3 linked regions of the Rattus norvegicus genome follow. The protein of the gene in region 1 interacts with the protein of each later gene in a biochemical or structural test. Links are inferred from orthologs where the notes say so. Each region holds a gene or a part of one and is shown in the gene's direction. Other genes may lie near its edges.

Region 1 (4,720 bases):
TTCTTATTCTAGTGTGTATAAGACCCGGCATTCCATGATCTGCTACAAGAAGGGCCGATCTATGGTTTGGTCCCTGGCTAAAAAGATGAATTGCATGTTAACGCCACTCTTCTTTTGAGGGGAGATAAAACAATAACGACAACAACAATGGGTGGGAAGACACGGCCTATAAAGTGCTGATCAGCAAGCATGAGGACCCTAGTTCCATCCCCAGTGCCCATGAACAAATGTACGGATGATGAGGCTTGTGTGTAAAATCAACGCCGAGCAGGTAAAGACAGCAGATTCCTCGCCAGGCCAGCCCAATGGGTGAGGCTCAGGTCCCTGTGCGTGACCCTGTCTCAAAAAACAAGGTGTACAGCTCCTGGGAAATAATTTCACAAACACACACACACACACACACACACACACACACACACACACACACACACAGGGGGTGGGGGTAGTGGCTTGGTTCTGAGTAAGAAAAACAGCGCCCGGAAGAACGCTGCTAAGTAGAGGCAAGACTGCAAAGGGCCCCTGCCACAGCTGATGGGGACCTGGGAACAGGAAAGTGGACCGATGTGCAGACAGAGCAGGACTGCTTGAGTGGACCTCTGCAAAGCACAGTCCCTCAGACCTTTCTGGGCTGCAACTCATCTCTAGTTTGTGCAGAGGGCGTGGCGTCGTTCTTCTGTGGACCACTGCAAAGCAGGAGAAGAGAACTTCCCAGATGTGGCTGATTTAGCTGCAGGGACACTGTAGAAGCCGGGGCAGTGAGTGTTTTGAGAAGCAAAACGGGACTCAAAACCATTTCGGATAAGGAATGGATTGACTTTAGTCATCAGAAACCTAAGACTGACCAAAGCCGTCGGAAATCTGAGACTGAGCAAAGCGAAAACTCATCCTGCAGGTGCCAAGCCAAGAAGACATGGTTGAAAGGACAAGCAAAATCTGAGATCACAGGAATTGAGAAGGGACTGAAGGACGCCTCAGTGGGCAAAATGCTTGCTGCACAAGCCTGAGGACCCGAGTTCGGATGCCGGAGACCTCGTAAGGGTCGGTTGTGTGGGAAGCTGTCTGCAATTCCATTTTTGGGAGATGAAGACAAAAAGACATAAAGGGAAAACCCTGCCTCAAAAAAATAAGGTGGGGTGCAATTGACGAAGACTCCTCACGCTCCCGGGGGCGAGCGGAGAAGAAACAGAAATATCTAAAAAGGAAGTTAAGATCTGCTGCAGGGTCTGTGCGAGGAGGAGCGACCCGTGATTCACAGCAGCTCCTAAGAGCCGACAGCTCACCTGCTGTCCCGGTTTTTGCAGATTCTGGCCCTTATTCTGCAGAGCGGCTGCAGGGAGTAAGCAGCAGCCTGGTCGCAGCTGTCACCCACGGGTGACCAGACGACGTCCGCGCGGGCGGCAGAGGCCGAGCCTGGAACTACACTTCCCAGTGTGCCAGGCGGGCGGGGCGCGGCGGGGAGGGCGCAGGCTCCTTCCCAGCAAGCGAAGGCGGAAACAAAAGAGCCCGGCGCCGCCGCCCGCACACTCGCGCACCGCGCCCGGGCGCACACGGAGCAGCCCCGCGAGGCGGCAGCCCGGGACACGCGGACCTGCCGCAGCCCCCGCCGCCTGCCCCATGGCGCTGAAGCGGATCCAGAAAGTGAGTGGCTGCTAGGACCGGCCTGGGTGTCCCCGAGAGGTCCCCAGGAGCTCGGGGTGCACGGCGTGGGAGGGGCGCGGGCACTAGGGAGGCCGGGGTGCGGATCGGCCCGCACAGGTGAGGCGTGCATGCGCAGGGTCCGGGTGCTTGGAACCCGGGGCAACCCGATCCGGTCGTGTCCTTTCCAGGCTGAGCCTAGAACCCCGGGTGCGGGTGCCGGTGCGGTGGCCAGATTGCCCCGGGGTGTGTGCATCCCCGCTGGGCAGGGGCTTGCTCTGCAGCGGGCGGCCTGCGTGCCCTATCACGCCGTGCGTCCTTACCAGGTCCCCGGAGCCCTCCTTCCTGTGTTCGCACCCCGGGCTCCCCGGGAGGACAGGGAAGGTGTGGTGGGCCTACGGCCTTTATTCTCAGAGAGTGGGGCTGGGTCTTTCTGGGCTTTGCAGTCGGATGGTGCTCAGTGGGAGGAAAGGGTTGGGGAAGCGGGATTGGGGCGGAGGAGCCAGCAGAAAGCTCTTGCCCCTGCTATTTTGGTGGTTCTGCACGCAGCTGCCACTTCAGGTCACATAGCTGCACCGAGTACATAGTTGCTGATACACAGCAAGATGACCTCCTGGCTGTGATTCAAGGCGAGGCAAGCCAAGCTGGTTGTTGGTTTTGTTTGTTGCTTTTTTTTTTTTTTTTTTTAAAACATCCTCATGATAAACTTAGATGTAGAGTTGAAGACACAACACTAAGGACCACAAATTAAACTGTTTGGATGCTTTGATGCATGACTAGAGAATGAGGAAGACAATCGAAGGGTCAACACCTAGCATCTGTCCCAACCCTCTCTTTGTATTCTTTACCGCACCCATTTCTCTTGTTGGCCTGTCCCCTGACTCAAGTGTCTTTTAACATTTTACAGCCGGCAGCCCTTGCTGCTGGGAACCGGGTGTTTGGGAACGCTTTGGAAGCAAATGGAAGCAGTGGATAATGTGTTTGGTAATTGATTTCACAAGAAATGGATGGCTCCCCAAACGTTTTTATCAACCTTTCCAGCTACACTTGACTGCAAATGTTCTGAGTTAGAGTTAGAGTGGTAGTCGGCAGGCATCTTTCGGTACAGAGGACAGCAACTTTTACACGCAGCCAGATTTTGGGGTTCTTTTTTTGGTTCGAACATCAGCTGTGTAGATCGTCGCTGTTCTTTGTACCGCTGAAGGTCAACTTGGTATAAAATGTAAGATCAGCGTTTATTAAATAATGACGTTTTCTCGTTGGAAGATAACGTGGCTGCACTTTATTTTTAACCGTATAAACAAGCCTAAATTTGAAGCCGCAGCCGTCATTGCCTTGCTGACTTCTGATCGCCGATGTTCTGTTGGTTTCCCCTTTGGAAGTTTTCAAACTTTGCTTCTTTTCGTGATGGTGAGGCATTCTATGTGGCTTTGTTCTCTCTCTCTCTCTCTCTCTCTCTCTCTCTCTCTCTCTCTCTCATGCGCACACACAATAGCTCTTAGATGTCATAGGTATTATCTATAGAATATATCCATTCAGAGAAAGAATGTATTACTGGATGTGTAGTCTTGGTATGTCTTATTGGTCATGCTAAGCTTGACTTATGTATTTGACTTAGTATGGAAAACGTCCACACCTTCTTTCTTTTTCCTTTTTTCCTTTCTTTTTTTTCTTTTTCTTTTTCTTTTTTCTTTTTTCTTTTTTCTTTCTTTTTTTTTTTTAAGATTTTGGGTGTTAAACAGAATTGTCTAGTATGACGATAACCTTAAATACAACTGATGGCAAATCTGTGACAAACTGGTATTGTGGAGAAGACATGGGAGGTCACATGATTCTATGTTCCCCGCATTGACTGCCACGAATCATCAGTCATACATGCCAGCCACCGCGTTCGCCCCCAACGGATTCTACCGTCCTCTGCCATTCTCGCCTGTCATCTTGCTTAGAACTAAGTCCAGGTCAAATAGGCCACCCATGAGCTGCATCAATGCCCTCTGGTATCCTGTGTTCCCATTCTCATTTGAATCTTGTTCAGTCCAACAAATGGAGTTCAATGCGAACCTTTGGCCTTAAAAAAATTTTTGTTTTTAGTGTGTGTATGTGTGAGTACATGCCACATGTGTGGGGGTGGCCACAGAGGCTAGAAGAGGTAAGAGACAGCATCAGGTATTCTGATGCCAGAGCCATAGGTGGTTGTGAGCTGTCTGACGTGGGTGCTGGGAATTGAACTTGGGTCATCTGAAGGAGTAGTTCTTCACTGCTGAGCCATCTCCCAAGCCTCTAACCGCCCTCCTCCTCCTCTTCCTCCTCCTCTTCTTTTTCTTTTTCTTCTTCTTCTTCTTCTTCTTCTTCTTCTTCTTCTTCTTCTTCTTCTTCTTCTTCTTCTTCTTCTTCTTCTTTTTCTTCTTCAATATCTTTTAAAGCAATGACGTGATAACTTCACCATTTCTTTACCTAAAAGTATCAGCCCTTGACGTTCATGGAATCCCAGCTTGGCGGTGGGGTAGCAAAGAATACAGGGAGAGAGACAGTCCCCAGGGCAGGGAGCAAAGTCACTGTAGAGCCCAGGGCTGCCAGTGGAAAGATGCTGGACCTGGAAGCTGAGGTGGGGTTAACATGGAAAGGTCAAAAGCCCTGATGTTCTCCTGTGTTCTCTTCGTCCAAAGACAGAAGCAGGGGCTGGAGTTGAGACGAGTTTTGCTCAGGCTTAATCTCTTGAGACAGGATTTGGCACGTTTGAGAATAATGTTCGCAGCTTCTCATTTCTCCACCTATGAAAAGAACAAAGCTGTTGAATTGAAACTGTGTTTTTCTACAAAGCGTGCGGACAGAGGCGCTTCAAATATATCCCCATGCTGGAGTAGACTAAAGGATTTAATGCTCTAATTTAGACATCCTGTGCCAGTTCTGCATTTCAGCTCATAAATTTACACACCCGTGGCCTATTTTTAGATGCAGGAGAAAGATGTTATTACAGTCGTCTAAATCACTGAAGGGATAAAGTTTGAGCAAAATCTGAAGGAAGAAGCCTGCGACGGATTCAACAAAAGAGAGCAGCTTTTGGTTGGGTGTCTATTGTTAGTTG
Region 2 (4,200 bases), on another chromosome or scaffold:
AGTGTCAAAAGAAAAAAAAAAGTAAACTTTCAGTGCTGCTCCTGGTTTCCTTAGAGTCTGCTGCAATCTAGAATTTCAATTGTGTTGACTTGGCTATATTTGTAACCACTGTTGTTTTTGAAATGTTAAAGCCTTTGCAACAAAATGATTATAACTGGCAAGAAATGCTGTGTTTAGTGTAGTCTCAGGGAGTGTACTGTCAGGACATTGATTGCTCTTTTGTCAATTTCTGAGACAAATTATGACCTGCCAAATCCCACAGAGGCAAAGTCCTGGGGAAAGTTGTTTATTGTGTGTGACCCTCACTAGCTGGTCCTTTCTCCAGACACTCAGAAGTCTTGTGGTTAGTTACAGTGAAAGCTGTAGCCACAAGAGGGAACCCACAGGTTCAGGGAGCTCTTTGTTCAGCCCCACCCAGCGTTTGATCTTCTGTGGTTTTCTCCACTTCTTATATTCCTTCAGTCTTCAGATGAACGCACTGACTGATGGGAGACAGAAGTGATACCTGGCTGCCTTAATAAAAGACTGAGTAGACGTCTGCAGGCAGATAACAGGATGGCAGGGTTTCCTTCCCCTGTGACCTCTGAGCCCATTCCCAGAGCACAGTTCTAGTGATGATGCTGTTCATGCTGGGAAGAGTTGACCCGGCTCTAATGGTCTTTGGCATATGAACTTCATAGGACTAAAGCAGTAGGTCCTGAAGCTATGAGCAAACTCAGACTTGAGAAAAAATAGATGGAGGTGGAGACTCGGGAAAAAAGTCCAGCCCAAATAAAGTTTATATTGTAATTTAAGGTTTTCTTCTTTTAAAAAAGATTTGTTTTTATTTTATGTGAATGGGTGCTTTGCCTGCATGTCTATCTGCTCATAATATGTTTGAGTGCCCTGGCTGCCTCTAATGAGCAGCCATTTGGGTGGTGGGATTTGAACACTGGTCCTCCGGAAGACCAACCAGTGTTTTTAACTGCTAGGCCATCTCTCCAGTCTCCAGCCCTGTATTTAATTTATATTCCTCCTCTTCCCCTCCTCTTCCTCCTCTTCCTCCTCTTCCTCATCCTTTCCTCCTCCTCCTTCCTCCTTCCTTTTTTTTCTTCTTCCTTCTTTCCTTTTCTTCTGCCTCCTAAATGTTGGGAGTTAAAGGCTTGTGCCATCTTGCCCAGCTGTATTTAAGTTCTTAAGACAAAGACAGTTTTGTAGTTCTTTATTGTTTAGGAACTTTTTTGAAATTAGGTCTTCATATGTAGTCCTGCTTGGCCTGAAACTATGTATGCAGACCAGGCTGACCTCGAACTCCCTGATCCCCACCTGTATGTGTGTCTGCAGTGCAAGGGTTAAAGGTGTGGCCACAATGCCTGGTGCGATTCTTATTCTGTGTAGTCCACCCAGAGATTTCCACTGCTTTAAGAACAAAAAAGTATTTTAAACATGCTGGAGAACATTTTGGAAATACAGTTTACTCATTATATAACTCCAGAAAATTAACCTTTAGCGTTCAATTTTTATTTTATTTGTATATGGATTTAAAACTATATTTACTTAATTTTATTCTTTTATTCACGATAAATTTTGTGGTATGCTTTACAAGTATTTATGACATGTATACATACATATCTACTAATGTGTTATATTTGTAACTTTCCCCCTGCTTCCTTTTATTTTCTTGTTTTCCTTTACAGAGATGAGCCGTCAGACTGCTACAGCATTACCCACCGGCACCTCAAAGTGTCCACCATCCCAGAGGGTACCTGCCTTGACTGGCACAACTGCATCCAACAATGACTTGGCGAGTCTTTTCGAGTGTCCTGTCTGCTTTGACTATGTATTGCCACCTATTCTTCAGTGTCAGAGTGGCCATCTTGTTTGTAGCAACTGTCGCCCCAAACTTACATGTTGTCCCACCTGCCGGGGCCCGTTGGGATCCATTCGCAACTTGGCTATGGAGAAAGTGGCCAACTCCGTACTCTTCCCTTGTAAATATGCCTCTTCTGGATGTGAGATAACTCTGCCGCACACCGAAAAGGCAGAGCACGAGGAGCTCTGTGAGTTCAGGCCTTACTCCTGCCCCTGCCCTGGTGCTTCCTGTAAGTGGCAAGGCTCCTTGGATGCTGTCATGCCCCACCTGATGCATCAGCACAAGTCCATTACCACCCTGCAAGGAGAAGATATAGTTTTCCTTGCTACAGACATTAACCTTCCTGGTGCTGTTGACTGGGTGATGATGCAGTCTTGTTTTGGCTTTCATTTCATGTTAGTCTTGGAGAAACAAGAAAAATACGATGGCCATCAGCAGTTCTTTGCGATTGTACAGCTGATAGGAACACGCAAGCAAGCTGAAAATTTTGCATATCGACTTGAGCTGAATGGTCATAGGCGGCGATTGACTTGGGAAGCCACCCCTCGGTCTATTCATGAGGGAATTGCAACAGCCATCATGAATAGTGACTGCCTAGTGTTTGACACCAGCATTGCACAGCTCTTTGCAGAAAATGGCAATTTAGGCATCAATGTAACTATTTCCATGTGTTGAAACGGCAATCAAATATTTCTGGCCAGTGTTTAAAATTTGCATTTGACTTCACAGAGAATAAGGCACCCATCTGCTTGCCAACCTAAACCTCTCCTGGTAGGTAGAAGCTAGACATGAAGGTAAATAAAAAGAAAAGCTGTTAATACAGGAAACAGTTGCATGTAGTAACACTAATATATTTAAAAATAATTCAACAGTAAACCACTGAAAAATATATATACCCAAGATGGGCATCTTTTGTATTAAGAAAGGAAACATTGTAAAATATTTCTGAACTTTGTGTTTGTTGTAGATTGATTGTATTGTTGACAATTTTTTGGGGGTGTGTGTCTGTGCACGCATGCGTGCACGTGTGTGGTTGGTTTTCCTTTAACTGACAAGCCATCTGCGTGGTCATGGGCCACCGCTTTCCCCTTGTGAGTCAACACACAGTGCTGCTGTGGGGTTGTTTTTTGTTTTGTTTTTTGTTTTGTTTTTTGGTGTGTGTGTATTTGCTAATTTTTATTCTAGTTTTTCATTAAATAAATTTGACTTTCTTTTCTGTAATTCAGGTTTTTCTCACTTTTGTACCTTTTAAGTTAGCGTCTTTTTGATATCCATAATTGCTTAATGTCAGAAGTTTGTGTTCAGTACATACTTTCTTTTCCTTCAATCAATTTATTAGACATTTTTAATTCAGCCCTTCTGTGGAAATAGGAATTCCAGAAAGGAAAGGGAGCAGAGCAGCTCGTCGAGGCTGAAGCAAGTACAGGATGGTCTCGCCTCCCGACTGCTGTCCTACGCCGTCAGGTCAGGCTTACTCTCTGAAAGGTTAGCTTAGGGAGTAAACTCTGATCACTATAAATTATAAAATAATCAGGCTTTTCCTCTCTTCAAATGTCTTGGGCAAATCACATGTTTAAATTGGTTCTTGTATTTATTGGTTTTGCAAAAGAGTGCATCATCATACACAGTATTTGTAATTAAAGTAAATCATTTGTTTTTAAAAAAAGGCAGTTTGCAAAAAAATGTTTTTGGTCTTTTATAATTCTCATTAAAAGATTATCTGGCAAATTAAAAAACATTTTAATGTGTTTACTTTAGCTCTAGGTTTTTGTTTTTGTTTTTTGTTTCCCTGGAGCTGAGGACTGAATGTAGGGCCTAGCACTTGGCAGATGCTCTACCCTGAGCTACACCCTCACCCTGTGGCCCTAAGATGGATAAACTCCAAAGGTAGTTTCCTGTTCCGGTCTGTATTTTAGAGCAGAGGATTGTATGCCACTGTTTGAAGTATGTTTTATTTTAAATCACAGAAAAGACTGGACAGCTCTCCCTCCCACTTTCATTCCATTAGGACATTGGGAATATGACTAATTAATGCTGATTATTCTTTTCCTTTGTGAAAAAAGGTGAGTTATTTTATCCTTTCCTAGCTCCAGTGGTGTGGTACTGACTCTGCAGTCTGATTTTCAAGTTTCTAGGCACCAGTTTACCTCCACCCAACTTAACCATCTGTCTGACCTTGGGCCCAGTCTCCTAATGTGTAGATGGAGTTAAGTCTGGTGAGTGTGTGTACGGTTAAATGAGGACCAAGTACTTAACCTGAAACACCGCCTCATAGGACATTAGCATCCAGTGTGGGGCCCTGGACTCTGTCTTTAGTGTCGTGTTCCTACATACATTCATGCGCACAG
Region 3 (4,200 bases), on another chromosome or scaffold:
TCTCAAGGGCTGAGAGTGTATATATTCTCGAAGAGCACATATTGCAAGTGGTTCACATGTTCAACTGAAAATAATGTCTTTTTTCATGGTGCTCTGGATCAGTACCCAGGCTGGCCCTGAACTCGTGTGATCTTGAGTTAAGGCTGGTCCTCTGTCTACGTTCTCTCTCAGCACAGCTGAGATTATGCCCTGAGATTCCTGGCGTTTCTGAATGTCAGCTAAGTGCAGTTCCTAGCTGTTGTAGTTTTTGTTACTATTAGGAGTGTTCCCAGTTCTTCTCCAGGTTCCCTTGTATGCTTACCACTGTTTTTTCCTGTTAGGAAAGGGGTTGTATTGTAGCTCAGGCTATCCTAAAACTTTCATATGTAGCCCAGGTTGGCTGAAATCCCAAGTACTAGGATTAGAGTGGTATATTGCCGTGCTGATTTAATTTTCCCCCTCTAATTTGACAAAGAATCTCCCCCTGTTTTTATCTCACTCCTCTGCTTCCTATGCCCCATTGGCTTTTGTTTATTTATTTGTTTGCTTTTTGAGGCTAAACTAGACTGAATCTAGCTATTTACCTCAGAGTGACCTTGATTTCCCTGCCTTCACCTCCCAAGTAAAGATTAGAGTCGTGCCACCATGCCCAGCATAAAACCTCAGGTCTTACTAGACTTCGTACTTCTGCAGTCTCATATCCAGCTTCCCATAGAGTGAGCTGTCATCTACCAGGACATAAGTCGTGTAAGCAGAGAATTCAGGTTGTAGCCATTGATAATTGTATTTGGAATGTTATTTTTTTTTTCTTTTAGTTGAATGTTTGAACCATTCGTAAAAATACTCTTAAAAAGGATATACTTTCAAGGTTTTACGTGTGTCTTAGGGTTTCTATTTCTGTAAAGAAACACCATGACCAAGGCAACTCTTAAAAAGAATAACATTTAATTGGGGCTGGCTTACTGGTTCTGAGGTTCAGTCCATTATCATCCCGGTGGGAACATGGCAGCATCCAGGCAGGCATGGGGCTGGAGGAGCTGAGAGTTCTACATCTTGTTCCAAAGGCAACAGGAGAAGACTGACCCTCCTGCATGAGTGAAGCTTCAAAACCCACCCCACAGTAATGCACTTCCTTTGATAAGGCCACACCTCCTAATAGTGCCACTTCCCATGGACCAAGCACATTCCAACTACCACAACTTGGTGGCCCATCCGTTTAATTCTAGCACTTAGGAGGCAGAATCAGGTAGATATCTGTGAGTTTGAAGCCGTCCTCATCGATGTTATATGTTTCAGGCAAACCAAGAGTACACAATGAGACCCTTTCTAAAAAGCAAACAAAGAAAACAAGAATACACCTTCAGCCAGGCTTACTACTGTAATCCCCAGTAGATCCCAGGGGGTAAAGATGTTAGTGGGAAAACTGAGTCTCCCTTTTCAGATTCATTCTCATTCTTTCTCTCTCTCTCTCTCTCTCTCTCTCTCTCTCTCTCTCTCTCTCTCTCTCTCTCTCTCTCCAGGGTTTCTCTTTGTAGCCCTGGCTGTCCTGGAACTCACTTTGTAGACCAGGCTGGTCTCGAGCTCACAGACATCTACCTGCCTCTCCCTCCTGAGTGCTCGGATTAAAGGCCACCACTGCCCAACTAGATAGATATACTTATTTTTATTGTATGAGCTCTGTTTGCCACCTGCTTGCCCAGTCCCTGTGGAGATCCTAAAACATCAGATCCTAGGAAATGGAGTTAGTGGTGGCTATGAACTACCATGTAGGTGCTGGGAATTGAAACTGGGTCTTCTGCAAGAACGGCCAGTGCTATTAACCACTGAGCCATCTCTCTACACACACAACCCCTTCAGGTTCTTAGTCTCACTCATAAAAGAATTTAGACATGGGGAGAAAGTCACGCCTTTTGAGTTAGGGTCTATGTTCGGCAAGCAGCCACGCAGCAGAAGCAGAGACAGAGAGGGCCCAGAACATCAGTGAGAGCTTGAAAGAGAAGACATTACATTTTTTCTGGGTAATTCAGAGAAATGCCGACTTCCTAAGCAGCTACTCCCAGGTGGGGTTTCTGAGAGGGAAGCTACATTAAAAGTCTATCACCACAGTGATGGGACAATTATCCCACCCATCTTTTTATCTGGCTTGAGGAAATCAGACTGTCTGAGGTGATTGACAGGCCCAACTGGATTGATTAACGTTTTGGGTCTCCACACAGGGCCACAGGTAGAACTTAGAGTCTGTCTTTTTACCTGGGAGTGGTTGGATGGGCTGTAACCAAGCCCAGATACCTCGGCCTTCTTTTCTGAGAAGACTTGTGTGGTGCAGCCCTGGCTATGCTGGAACCTGTTATAAACCAGGCTGGCTTTGAACTCACAGATCTACCTGCCTTTGCTTTTGAGTGTTAGAATTAAAATGGTGGACTACCATGATTTTTTTTTAATTTTTAAATTATGTGTATGTGTGTATGTATGTATGTGTGTATGTGCCCGTATGAATAGAGGTATTCTTGTCCTCTAGAAGAACAGCATGAACTCAGGTGCTGAGCCGTATCTCTGATGTATTCTGTTTCTTTTGAGTAGGTTCTGCCGCTCTTGCATTGCAACCAGTATAAAGAACAATAATAAGTGGACATGCCCATACTGCCGCGCGTACCTTCCTTCAGAGGGAGTGCCCGCAACTGACATAGCCAAGAGGATGAAGTCAGAATACCAGAACTGTACTGAGTGTGGAACTCTGGTGAGTAACACAACCACGATTACAAGCAAAGGTTTCCAGTGAAATTACACCTTCTCCAGCTCTCCAGCTCCCCAGCTTTGGGGACAGGGTCTCATTCTGTAGCCCAGGGAGGACTTAAACTTGCTATCTCCAGATCCAGACTTGGAAGTGTCGGGGTTGCATGCAGGCCCCACCACGACGGCGCCTTTAGTATTTGTGTGTATACAGCACTGGAGGTTGAACCCAGGGCTTCCTACATGCTAGGTGCTATACCACCGAACCAGAGCCCCAGCCCTCATTTTTCTTTTGATTTTGAGACAGAGTCATTAAGTTCTCTGTGCTAGATATGAACCTATTCTGTAGCTCCACCAGCTTTTTAAACATCCTTTTTGAGACTTCAAACTCTTACTTCATTCATTTATTTTCCTATCACCATCCAGAGCTGGGAAAATAGCATTTTTAATGTGGAATTTTTTTAAAAAAGGAAAACGTACAAAAACCTGTGTGTGGGGGCTGGAGAGATGGCTCAGTGGTTAAGAGCACCCGACTGCTCTTCCAGAGGTCCTGAGTTCAATTCCCAGCAACCACATGGTGGCTCACAACCATCTCTGTAAAGAGATCCGATGCCCTCTTCTGGTGTATCTGAAGACAGCTACAGTGTACTCATATATAATAAATGAATAAATAAATCTTTAAAAAAAAAAAACCTGTGTGTGGTAAGTAGCTCTTGCCTTTAATCTCAGCATGCTGGAGGATCTGTTGCATGTTCAAGGCTAGCCCAGGATACATGGCAAGTTCCAGACCAGCCAGGGCTATGTAACAATACACTGTCACAGAACAACAAATACCCCAAACAAAAAGTCAGTCCCCAGCAGTCAAAGAGTGTGCCTACTCTCTCCCCTTGCCTCAGAGCCTGGAAACCAACTGGATATTGTCCCCCTTCCCCTGGCCCTTAAGGAGTTATTTCTGACTGAGGTAGCAGGAAGAAGATTATGGCTCTCAGCCCTCTCCTCCCCCCAGCCACACCAAGTGACTGATTAGATTTGGTTACCTGGACCTCCTCTTGCCCGGGTCCTTTTCTCCTGTTAGGCTCCTTTCAGTCTTTCCCAGTGAGCTGAATGGACCCCCTCCCTCTCTCCCTATGTCAGCCACCGCCATGGCCTTTGAGGCAAAGACACACAAGGAGCATAGAGCATCTTCTGTAACTTTGTACCCAACTCTTATCTACTAAGGCCTTTGTGCGTTTACAAATATTTATACATGTAGGAATAATCTATCATGGGCACCTGACCAGAATCTGTACATAATCTTTGGGGACAAGCATCCTGATATCCAACACTAATTCTCTCTCTTCCTGTTTCTGATTTGGCACAAGTTATTTATTTACTTTTAATTATTTATTGTGTGTGAAGGGGGCCACACATGGACAACCTTACCGTAGTTGTCTATCCAAAACGGCGTTCTCTCAGACCCTGGATGAAGTCCCCCGTCAGACTCTCTTCTCA

The links. The genes of interacting proteins can lie anywhere in the genome.
Region 2: the proteins of Ube2d1 (region 1) and Siah1 form a complex in vitro, tested with the Homo sapiens proteins (3 studies listed by BioGRID). The link is inferred for Rattus norvegicus from reciprocal best matches to the Homo sapiens genes UBE2D1 and SIAH1.
Region 3: the proteins of Ube2d1 (region 1) and Rnf125 form a complex in vitro, tested with the Homo sapiens proteins (4 studies listed by BioGRID). The link is inferred for Rattus norvegicus from reciprocal best matches to the Homo sapiens genes UBE2D1 and RNF125.

What each region holds. Positions count from the first base shown.
Region 1 is NC_086038.1:17,306,942-17,311,661, forward strand, and holds the start of Ube2d1 (ubiquitin-conjugating enzyme E2 D1), read left to right. Parts: upstream 1-1,517; 5' UTR 1,518-1,614; coding exon 1,615-1,638; intron 1,639-2,938; exon of another isoform or gene 2,939-3,042; coding exon of another isoform or gene 3,043-3,045; intron 3,046-4,720.
Region 2 is NC_086037.1:36,572,186-36,576,385, forward strand, and holds the end of Siah1 (E3 ubiquitin-protein ligase SIAH1), read left to right. Parts: intron 1-1,676; 5' UTR 1,677-1,678; coding exon 1,679-2,527; 3' UTR 2,528-3,588; downstream 3,589-4,200. UniProt on the Homo sapiens protein: E3 ubiquitin-protein ligase that mediates ubiquitination and subsequent proteasomal degradation of target proteins.
Region 3 is NC_086036.1:12,538,516-12,542,715, forward strand, and holds part of Rnf125 (E3 ubiquitin-protein ligase RNF125), read left to right. Parts: intron 1-2,559; coding exon 2,560-2,716; intron 2,717-4,200. UniProt on the Homo sapiens protein: E3 ubiquitin-protein ligase that mediates ubiquitination and subsequent proteasomal degradation of target proteins, such as RIGI, MAVS/IPS1, IFIH1/MDA5, JAK1 and p53/TP53.